3 linked regions of the Oryzias latipes genome follow. The protein of the gene in region 3 binds, or shares a complex with, the protein of the main gene of each other region. Links are inferred from orthologs where the notes say so. Each region holds a gene or a part of one and is shown on either strand. Other genes may lie near its edges.

The links.
Region 1: tmem67 (region 3) and mks1 share a complex: the UniProt entries of both Homo sapiens proteins name them as parts of the tectonic-like complex. The link is inferred for Oryzias latipes from reciprocal best matches to the Homo sapiens genes TMEM67 and MKS1.
Region 2: tmem67 (region 3) and tctn1 share a complex: the UniProt entries of both Homo sapiens proteins name them as parts of the tectonic-like complex. The link is inferred for Oryzias latipes from reciprocal best matches to the Homo sapiens genes TMEM67 and TCTN1.

Annotation. Positions count from the first base shown.
Region 1 is NC_019872.2:25,021,613-25,025,267, reverse strand, and holds the end of mks1 (Meckel syndrome type 1 protein), read right to left. Parts: intron 3,330-3,655; coding exon 3,260-3,329; intron 3,191-3,259; coding exon 3,083-3,190; intron 2,965-3,082; coding exon 2,831-2,964; intron 2,262-2,830; coding exon 2,179-2,261; intron 2,094-2,178; coding exon 1,996-2,093; intron 1,813-1,995; coding exon 1,709-1,812; 3' UTR 463-1,708; downstream 1-462. UniProt on the Homo sapiens protein: Component of the tectonic-like complex, a complex localized at the transition zone of primary cilia and acting as a barrier that prevents diffusion of transmembrane proteins between the cilia and plasma membranes.
Region 2 is NC_019868.2:27,625,146-27,628,900, reverse strand, and holds the start of tctn1 (tectonic-1), read right to left. Parts: upstream 2,473-3,755; 5' UTR 2,390-2,472; coding exon 2,122-2,389; intron 1,073-2,121; coding exon 955-1,072; intron 451-954; coding exon 317-450; intron 1-316. UniProt on the Homo sapiens protein: Component of the tectonic-like complex, a complex localized at the transition zone of primary cilia and acting as a barrier that prevents diffusion of transmembrane proteins between the cilia and plasma membranes.
Region 3 is NC_019874.2:17,690,711-17,693,957, reverse strand, and holds the end of tmem67 (meckelin), read right to left. Parts: coding exon 3,212-3,247; intron 3,023-3,211; coding exon 3,014-3,022; intron 2,910-3,013; coding exon 2,823-2,909; intron 2,717-2,822; coding exon 2,617-2,716; intron 2,545-2,616; coding exon 2,405-2,544; intron 2,335-2,404; coding exon 2,194-2,334; intron 2,089-2,193; coding exon 2,008-2,088; intron 1,927-2,007; coding exon 1,810-1,926; intron 1,692-1,809; coding exon 1,575-1,691; intron 1,491-1,574; coding exon 1,383-1,490; intron 1,259-1,382; coding exon 1,156-1,258; intron 1,069-1,155; coding exon 926-1,068; intron 840-925; coding exon 759-839; 3' UTR 594-758; downstream 1-593. UniProt on the Homo sapiens protein: Required for ciliary structure and function. Part of the tectonic-like complex which is required for tissue-specific ciliogenesis and may regulate ciliary membrane composition.

The sequences.
Region 1 (3,655 bases), on a different chromosome or scaffold from region 3:
CAAACTCTGACCCAACCGTTTATTTTAAAACAAAAATGAAGCTTAATTAATGACAATTTTTTAAGCCATGTTCATGTTGGTGTTTTTATTTGCTAGTTGTTTTGTTGTTTTAAACTATCAGAGCATCTTACTTTTAACAAGTAAACGTGCAAGACTGCAGGTGTTTATATTATTGATAGTTTAAAAGAAAAAAATGCAAATTACAATCTTTTTTACATAGTTAAAGATTAAATTGCAAGCACATAAAAGCCTTTCTAACCTAGGTCAGTGTTGTAAATCCTCATAAAATCAAAGAACACGTTCTCTAAAAATAAAATGCATTAGTTTCTTAACTAAATGACGCTTCACAAAAGATAAAAATCTATTTTTTTTTCATTTGATATTCACTGAGAAACAGCATACAAACAGCAAAGAAATCAATTAAGCTTTATCAAAAGCCCATTAGGGTCAACTACCACAATCCATGAAACCAATACTTTATTTTTCACCTGTAACTTATATACAGTGTGGCTTCAAAATTATAAAAATGACATAAAAAGTTGGGTTTGTTTTAAAAAAAAAAAGGATGTTGCTTTAATTAAAATAACAAATGTATAACAACAATGAAACTTCAAATATTTTGTAGCAAAAACATTTATTTGTAGAATTATATGCAATAAAATGCAAAAACTACCCCAACAAATTAAAATCAGCTGATTTTTTTTTCCTGACAGTAATCCTGAGAACATGATCTCTTTTAGCCAAACTGGCATCGTTTTTAAAATCCTATTCTGAACCAAGCACCATTCATCCCTGTATCAAGTATAGCAAAAGAACAGATGCATAAATTGTGCATAGGCTGATCAAATGAGAATGACGAGATCCTTAAGACCGGCTCTAAAAAGAAGGAGAAGACTATAGAGATTGCTTGATTTGTGAAAAAGATGTTTCAGGAGGATTTCAATTTCTATTTTTACAGTAGACTGTAACAATAGTTTTGTACTGTTAAGGGGCAGATCAATAATAATTTAACTGAGTTTAAATGAGAAAAAAGCTAAATGTCTTTAACTGAAAGTTGGTATGGTGCTTCATGGAACCAGGTTAAAGTAAAGCAGCAGAGGGTCAGGTAAATTGAGATTAGCTCTGAGAAGATCCTTTTGAGGGACATGAAGCAAGAGTCTCTGTTTTGCCCCAAATAGACCCGTTGATGTAGGGAAACGACACAAAGGCTTTCCTGGTTAGTGGCTAATTCAGCTTCATTCTGTTAATCACTAGGCTATTTCTGACAGTAAAAAGTAAGCTTTAGTAGATTTAAACAGCACCAGAACATTTCTCGTATCTGCGTACATCAGTAGGTACTGGCAGAACATGAGCGCAGCAGCTTCTGTAGAGGGCAGGAGGTGAAAAGCAGCTTAGAACTTGTAAAAGAGTTAATTGCAACAAAAAAAAACTCCCGAGTGGATTTTCAACAAGTTCCTTAGCCATTAAAAACTGCTGTGAAATTTGCCTGTAGTTTCTAAGGCAGGTGTGGTCACTTTTTCCACATTTTGGTGGATTGATGTATGTTTTGCATCATTACAACCTGACAAAGTGACTTATTAATCCTTAAAACATGAAATGTTCCACAGATGCTCACTGGACCGGTCACTAGAGAGTCATCTTTGCAAAATTCTGAGTCTGTGCCAGGATCTTCTTCCACTCAGTCCCACTGAAAGTTTGGTTTTCAGTCTCATGCTGAGGATTCCTGTTGGAGTTGGGAACCAGTGTTTATTACGCCTCTCGGAAAACTTTCTCTGGCCTCCTGCATCTTTTTCCTCGCTCTCTGAAAAGCCTCTGACAGAGAAAAACATGAAACGTGTTAAATGAAACTATTATTAACATTTAAATACAGCACATTTTAAATCCTAATTGCATCCCAATAGCCCAACAAATGTTGATCCCTAAATAAAGTTCAGACCTCCAGAATTTCAGTGCAAAGAGGCTTGGAAGTCAAATGGATTTTTTGTTTTTTTTTACCCAGAATGTTGCAAACAGCTCCTTGTTGACTAAATCCTCCCAAATGCTCAAAAACCTTCTGTCTCCTCCTTTTCAGAACAGCAGCATCCACAAATGCCCTGAAATGTACACACGGACACAAAAGACCACTGTAGTTATGTTGCTGGCAGACTGAGACCTGTTTGACGCTTACCTGACACTCACCTGGCTTGCTGGATGCAGTGCAGGTTAAAAGTGACGCTTCCTGTGGTTACAGTGCAGAAACCAAAGCGACTCAGCCTGTCCCCCTGATACAAAAATGTTAGAGAATAACAACAAAAAACATACACATACTGTAAATACTAAAACACCTTTGTTTCAATCATGTATCAAAAGCAAGTCCCTGTTTATCAAAAACCCAAAGAAATCATTTTTTTCAAAGTCTGTTGGTTATTCTGATATTTGCACTCCGTTAAATGGTTTCCACCAGAATGTCACAGTAAATGCAAATTATTGATTTTTTTATTCAAAAGTGTACAATTTAATTCAATATATAGCAGCAAAAATTAAAATAATCATCAATTTGTTTTCAGATTTCTATCCTAAGTCCAATTTTTTGGATTACTTAAATAGTGATTTAAAAAAAGAAAACGTTTAATTTTTGCTTTGACAAATAATATTCACAAAAATGTATTTCAGAAATGGAAGAATCAATAATTTTATTGAAGTTAGGATTGACTCAATTTCAACTGACAATTGAAACCCAGCTGCCCAAGGAGTATGTATCGATAAAATCACAACATATTTATTTAACTTTATACCTGATAAAAATCAACATCAATTGTCTAAAACTTTGTTTGAGCCAGCTTTGATTCACCTTGAATGTTCCTGGAGTTCTGACATAACTGTCATCTTCAAGCTCAGCAGAACCTCCAATAAAGAAGCGCTTCATTGCAGACACAGTCCCTGTCTGAACAGGCCTCCATGTGTGACATGTCATGGTATGTTTACCTGGTATACAAACACAAACAAGATGTAGAAACACTAACCATTTAGAAATCCCTTGATTAAATGTGAACAGTAACAAAATAAACTGAATTTAAATGAGATTTCAGGAAATACATCGTACCGGGCGTGGCAGGAAAAAGCAGATAACCATAGCCTTCCGTTCGATAGCGCTGCCAGAAGTCCAAGGAAAGAACCTTGAAGTAAATCACTGGCCACTGAGGAATGCCTTCTAAAGTAAGATAAAACCTGGATTCATAAAACATAAACTATGCTATAATACTTAACAGCTGATACTAACCTTCACCGTCTTTTTGCTTCATATAAAGAGCCTCAAAAGTGAAGGGATAGCTGAAGAAAGCCACATCTTCCTGTAGACGGAGAGTTTGTTGAGGGTTTAACAACTTCCACTCAAAAAAGTGGTTTAGTCTCTTACATGCAAGTTGTTTCTCTTTCGGCTTTTCCCATCAGGGGTCGCCACAGCGAACGAGCCGCATGGTAAACTTGGCAATGTTTTACGCCGGATGCCCTTCCTGACGCAAGCCTCTCAAAGCAACCGGGCTTGGGACCGGCACAGAGGTAGAGAAGGGAACAGGGAGCAGCCCGGATTTGAACCTGGGTTTCAATTCAATTCAATTCAATTCAATTTTCTTTGTATAGTCCAAAATCACAACAACAGTCGTCTCGATGGGCTTCG
Region 2 (3,755 bases), on a different chromosome or scaffold from region 3:
TGAATGAGTTAATTTTCGGCATTTAAGACAATTGAATTCTGCTGTTTTTACAGCTCCTGTTAGCAGATTTTACTTAAAAAACTGGCTGTTTCTGGAATTGTTTTTCTCGAATAAAGCCCTAATTTTTAAAAGACAAACTAAATGTCAACATCATTCTGACATATTTGTAGAAATGTGACAGAAACCTGCAGGCTTGACTTTCAGAAATCATCCATTGATTTTTTTTTTGTTTAAATGAAAGTTTAAAATACAGATAATTTTGTTCAGAATGTGTGTAAAAACATAAACATGAGCTTCAGGAGGAGCTCTGACTCACGGTTGTATGAATGGATGCAGAAAAGGTCATAGTTTGTCTCCTTTTTGATGGAGGTGAGAAGCTCGGAAAAACCGTCAATTCGTGTTCTCAAAGCGTAGCTCGCCACGCCGCGGCTGCACAGCTGCCTGCTGTCACTGTGAGTGAAGAAATAACAATGAAAAACTGAGATTAAATCTGACTTAAAACACCCAAAACAGAAATCCAGCCAGAAATGAAGCACTATGGAGTATTTATTTTTAATTTTGAGCTTGTCTGCTGTCTTTGTGCTGCTGTCTCAGGTGATTTTACCTGTGAACAGGTAAATGAGCCATAATGATCCTATTTTCCCCGTCTTTTAAAAAAAAAAATCTTATATATGTATAAAAATGGAAAGTTTCCTTAATCTGCACTTAGGAGCTCATTTCATTCAAATATTCAAAATGTCAACAAAGGTGAAGCAGATCTTTGAGTCACAGCTGTGGGTTTAAAAGAAACGATTTTTTCTCTTCTTCAAACAGGAACCATAACGGTGTGGACTGGCAAAGCATGATGGGTCACGGCTGACATTCCTAACGTCATGAGAAGCAAACATGTGTTCCCCTGAACGTATGGGTGGGCAGTAGTGTGTTGGATATTGATTCCCTCCGGCTGAAACTCACCTCACGTCAGTGACTGAGCAGCTGGTGAACAGCGCCACCTCCTGCTGACAGTCAGCATCACAGCAGCAGCTGATGTCACACGCGTCCGTGTGCTCATCACAGGGACACAGCGTGTCGACTGAAACACAGAGCTGAGGTCAGAAGGTCAGAGTTCAACTATCCTCCGATGAGAAGTTTAAATATCAAATAAGAAATGGTCACCTTTTTTGATTTCAGCAGCAAAAAAGGATTACAAACAACAACAAGCACAGAATCTTGAAGCCTTAAATGTTGGTATTTTGATCATGAAGCTGCTTTTTAAACTTTAATAACATAATGACTGAAGTTGTGAAAGCGGCCCTCACTGCTTCACAGCCCTCATTGTCCCTGCAAGCCTGGTCAGAGCTGCCCGGGACAAATTTATGGGAAAAAAAAGTTGGTGGCTTTTCTGTCAGTTTTAACTCCATGGCAACCATTCAATTTTTTGATCGCCTGGGGGTGACGGACGCATCTATATAACTTTTAGAAAGATCGGCAAAAGTAAATTTTTAGATTTGCTTGGCAACGGAGGTTATGTGCTAACCACGCCCTCATTCCTAATATGTACATATGTTATGACATATCATTTTGTTTAGCTCGGGCCAACGATTAATGTATTAGATTTTCACAATGCTCCCGTAAAAAACAGGGAAACGCCACTTCTGCAAACTCACCACGCTAACGCTGTTCATAATCTGCAAACCTTAAAACCAATGATTTTTTTCCCCAAGTAGCTTCCCGACGGGGTCATGGACGTAGAAGCCAAGCGTTTAAATGTGAACTAGAGAACTGTTTTAAGAAAAATTCAAGATGGGGGCTTCTTTGCAAGGTCAAAGGTCAATGAAAGTTGTGGTTTTAGACTTAACCTGGTGATGTATGTGTGAAATATGTTGTTCACTATGTTAAAAATTCACTTTCATCAAATTTTGCTGAGATTCTTAGCTTGTAAAAACTAAAGAAAGTTTTGCTCAAAGTTGCAGAAAAGCATTTGCATAACCTGGTCCTTGCAGGTTTTTTTGAGAAAATGAACAAGCAATTCAAAAAGATTAAAAACGGTTAAAGTAAATAATTTAAGGACTGTTTGCAACGTCAATAGAGTTACTTTAGACAAAAACAAAACAAAACGGTGTTGCGTTCAAGGACACGCACCAGCGGTCACTGGAGTGGGGAGGCGGCCGGAGACAGGCAGGGGCTCGGCGGGCAGAGGCGGCGGCTCCGTACCGCTGGAGGTCCGGGTTGTTGAGCTCAACACCGTCGACTCCGTGGATGCAACAAACGTCGTTCCAGATGTGAAGTTTAGGTCATCCCACGCAGTCGAGTTAAAATAACTGCTCGTCGAATTTTCGTTAGAATTTACAGTAACAATCAAAAGGAAAATAAAAAAAAAATCCGAAGCTAAAAAGACGAACGCCGCCATACTTGTTATAGACCGTTGCTATGGTTGTTGCTCTTCTTCGGCTGTTCGCTTCTGCTCGTGGGCTTTCAGTTCGTATAGGCTGCCACCTACCGGTCAGTTGCATGAATGCAAGGTCCCTGAAACACATTTAACTGTTATCCCTAAAAAAACAAAAAAAAATCAAACAATATTTTGTTGATCACTGTGCTGTTTCTGTGATATTCTGAAAAAATTGGAAATATGTAGAAGTTTAATCTCTAATTTATCAGACTGAATATAACATTTAGTCATATAAACAAACGAAATAATTCATAAAACATGTTTAGTCTTACTTTTATAAGACAAGTTGAAATGAGGCTTTTTTAACCCTTGGGCTATCTTAGATGACCCCCCCTTCCATTGACGTGTTCTCCCTACCATGACAAAGGTGGATAAAGGTGGAAAGATTTCATGTAATCCATGGACACCAGTGAAGATCACAAATCATTGAAGAAAAAAGGTTCAGGGCACTGTCTAGTGGGTCTAGATGACCCAACTCCCAATGTTAAAGTGCCTAGGATAGCACAAGGGTTAAACAATAAACAAACAAAGAAAATAACTCTTTTTAAAGCGAAAGACCTCTTTAACGTGCAAATTTAAAGAACAACAGACTTATTTAGTCTTGACGAGAACTTGAAGGGACACACCACCATTAAATAATCTGATTTTTTTTTTTTTTTTCCACAACTTTTTATTTAAAGAATTAGTCATAACAACACAGCAACTTCAATAATACCAGTTACGTTTTCCTTATAAAAAGACAAAAAGCAAAAAGGAAATAAAATAATAAAAAAAAAAAAAATAAAAATAAAAAAACTAAACTGTATTGTATGACATTTCACTCAAAACAAATATCTGCACTCAAACAAATAAAAATAATTACATAAAACAAAACTTAACAACGAACATTGCTTCTCTTACATGATACCATCACAGCTCTCCTTTTCAAAAGCTTTTAAACTGTGGTTGCAAAATTCTGTGCAGTTGAGATCAAAAATCTGTTGAATCATCTATTAGTTCTAATTTTTGAATATAATTAATAAAGGGTCCCCAAATTTCCTCAAATAGGTGTTGTTTGCTTTTATGGATATACATTATTCTTTCCAAAGGAAGGCAATACAACATTTGTTTTAGCCACTGATTTATGCTAGGTCTGCTCATGTTTTTCCAAGCCTGTGCAATACACCTTTTAGCCGTTAAGAAACTGATATCAATAAATGTACTCTCTGTATTACTAAAATTATGTTTCACTGGATATATATTCAAAAGAAATAGGGTAGGGCTCAATGTAAGTTGTTTTGAGATTATTTTTTCTATTGTAATTTTAACTTCTTCCAAAAAGATTTGT
Region 3 (3,247 bases):
ACGCACAAGTTGCATGGTCCCTGAAATAGGTTCTTTTCTCCAAATTATTCCATGGACATTGTTCTTTGCGACATGAAAAACAAACATAAAAAAGAACAAAAATTTTTTATCATTATAACTGATTGAATACTATGAATACTTCTCTTTTTTAGTAGTGCGGACAGTTAAGACACCCATTAAGCTTAAAAATAAAATAAATGACTGTGTGCTGCATTAATACTTGGTTTCTTGTGAGTATCACCATGTTCTCATTTTCTATCACTATTAACTAAGATTTTCATTTAATAGTATAAAAAGCACAGATAATTTGATTCTGGCAAAAATATATATCATTCACTGAGGCGGAGTCCAAGAGTACACCTTTAAGTGATTGCTTAACAAATAAACAAACCTATTTTAGGCTGATATCACAAAATATACCATGCATTATCTATGATATAACTACGGCATTGTTTTAATTCATTTGAAATATTAGTCAATCACAGTACTGTATTGAAATGGATAATGTACATTTATCTTAACATTCAGATTAAGTGGTATCAGTAATACAAATCAGATGTTGGCCTTGATTTTAAATCAAAACTCAACACAACTTTGCCTTCATATGAAAACCTTTTAATTAAAAAAAAGTGTAGAAATATGTCAAAAAAAATACAACATTATAAACCAGCAGTAAAAAGCATTGTACAAATGATTTTGAAAAGGCGAAACTGAAAATGATCAACTTTAAAAAAAATTAAGGACCTTCAACAACATTTTTATATCAAAAATCTCTGATCCACCAGTGTTTTATTGACAAGGTTCCTCCTTCCAAGTGTGTTTCGGATGAAGCGAAACATCTGCAAAACACAGAACAATATTAATGATAGCCACAGTGCATTTCACCACAATGAAAACAACACACTGAGATAATTAGAATACTTGCCGCTTGCTGTAAGTAAGTAAGAACAGCTGCTAGAACAAAGTTTTGGGATCCCAGGTCGACAACACAGAAGAACAAAGTGTCAAAGATCAGCAGTGTGGCCTCGTTTCCATAAAAAAGCACGTCACTGAACGAGTGTCTTTCATCTATTGGGAAAAAATGACAAAGGTACATCTTTCATATACCAAAACAATAAAAGGGATATTAAATATTAAGATCGACAAGGCTGTTACCATTGTAAAATATGCTTTTGTCAATGGGTTCAAGAAACTCCATCCCTATGACTCTCTCCAACGTCAGTTTATCCTTGACTATGTAGTCCATCTCAGGGTGCGCCTAAGGTAAACAATATAACAACAATTTATAAAGCACAAATTATATCGTAGTAACAAATTCATCAACAATTGATTCAACAAAACTATGTTGTTTTCCGAATGTCTCACAACATATTCATACTAACATGGTCTATAACAGATGCCAGGAAGTGGTTCATGGTGTTGTAGGCTTTGAACTGTAGCTCTGACAAGTTAGCTGCAGACGCATCTATCAACCGAGATGGTCTGTTCCTCTGGAGAACAGAACACAACCATTTGAACAAAAGAGAAGTTTTATTTTTCAGGGACATACAGACATAAAAGAGCTGAGTACAAACCCTGCTGAGTGAATCCTGTATCCTGTCATACTGCAGCCTCAAACGGTTTGTAAACGAGACCTGAAAGGTCTGAATGTCTGTGTTGGAAAGGAGACCTCTCTGGCCACACAGAGATTCCTTATAATGGAAAAAAAAAGGCATGAGGGAAGAACACATTCATAATGTTAGGTTTATGCAATAAGATCACAAATAAAATGTAACTCTAATTGGAAAAGCAGAGATTTGGTAGCCATACACGCTCTCTCTTCAGATTGTTGTTCATTTCCTCCATGTTTGTGTCTGCATGCCCGTGCACTGACCGGCCATGAATGTAGTAGCCAAAACAGCGATGAGAGAAAAGCAGCACTGAAATCTGCACAGAGGGAGTTAAAACCCATTTCTTTGAAGTGTTACAGAGGTTTTGATTAACAGCACATCATGCAGTGTTACTTACGTTGCTGACGGAGCAGAGATCCACAAACTGACGGATTTTATCCTCCACGAAGTGCTCATAAAAGACGGTGAAGAAAATCACCTGTGGGAACAAAAGGGCTTCTGTGACAGGATGCATGTCTGCTAAATATTAGTAGACACAAGATCATGTGAAAGAATAAATGGAGGAGATTTTATGGCCATTTACCTGCAATAGCCCAATACATATCCAAAGTGTGGCAGCGAGACCATAGCGAAGAATCAGACTGTAAGGAGGGGTGTAGGCTGCTGGGGAACGCTCTAATGTTGACCAGGGGTCTCTCAGGGCCAGATTGGAGAAGCCCAGCACCTGAACAACACATGACAGTTTGTCAAAAGCTAGAAAGACGGAGTGGATGTGTGCTCTTGTGTTTTTGTACCTCAAGAAAGAAAAGCACGGCCATTATTTGAAACGTTGGGCTGATCTTTCGGACGGTCTGGAGCTCATTCCACTCATTGGCCACAAAGTAAGTCCTCCAGATGCTGACTGGAGAGGGTTCCTGTTTTGTTTCCTTAGTAGCTGAAACAGCAAAAAATATTTTAAAAGGACAAACAGCAGCAAAGATGAATGTGTCCCAAAAGCAGGTTGTACCTGGCACTGTTCTGCTAGCTTTACTTCGTGGCCTCTCCCAGTCAATGAGAAATACATCAACGGTGACTTGCAGAATCAGTTTATTGAGAAACTGGACAGCCTGGATACAGAAATAATATATTTTAAATGTAGTGGTTTACATTTACAAAGTGGGTTTTAAATAACAATAGGTTTCATTTTAGCCTGTGCAAAGTTCAGGGTTTTACCTTGAGAGCAAAGGCGCATCCGATGTATGTCTCAAACTGCTCCTCCTGAGCAGGCAGTGGCAAAAGCACCGACACAAACTGTTGGGCCTACACAAAAACGGAAATCATTTAAATATAGAACGCCGCCAACAACAGCTGGAACTTAATGGGCATTTAAAGAAAAATGATCATGGAAGAAAAAGAAGACTCGCCTTTAAAGACTAAAGAGAGCAGAGGTGGAAGTGCAAAGAAAGAAGTGAAAAACAAAAAGATAACACAGTGCTTGTACAAAAAAAACAATGTAAACATGTCTAGAAAAGAGATAAAGCACAGTAAGACATGACAGAGTTTAAAGACTCATCATACTCTAGAAATAAATTATTTGTTTAAGTTTGAGGGACTCAACATACCTTGTAAAATATGAGCCAGTAAAGCCCAGTTCCCAC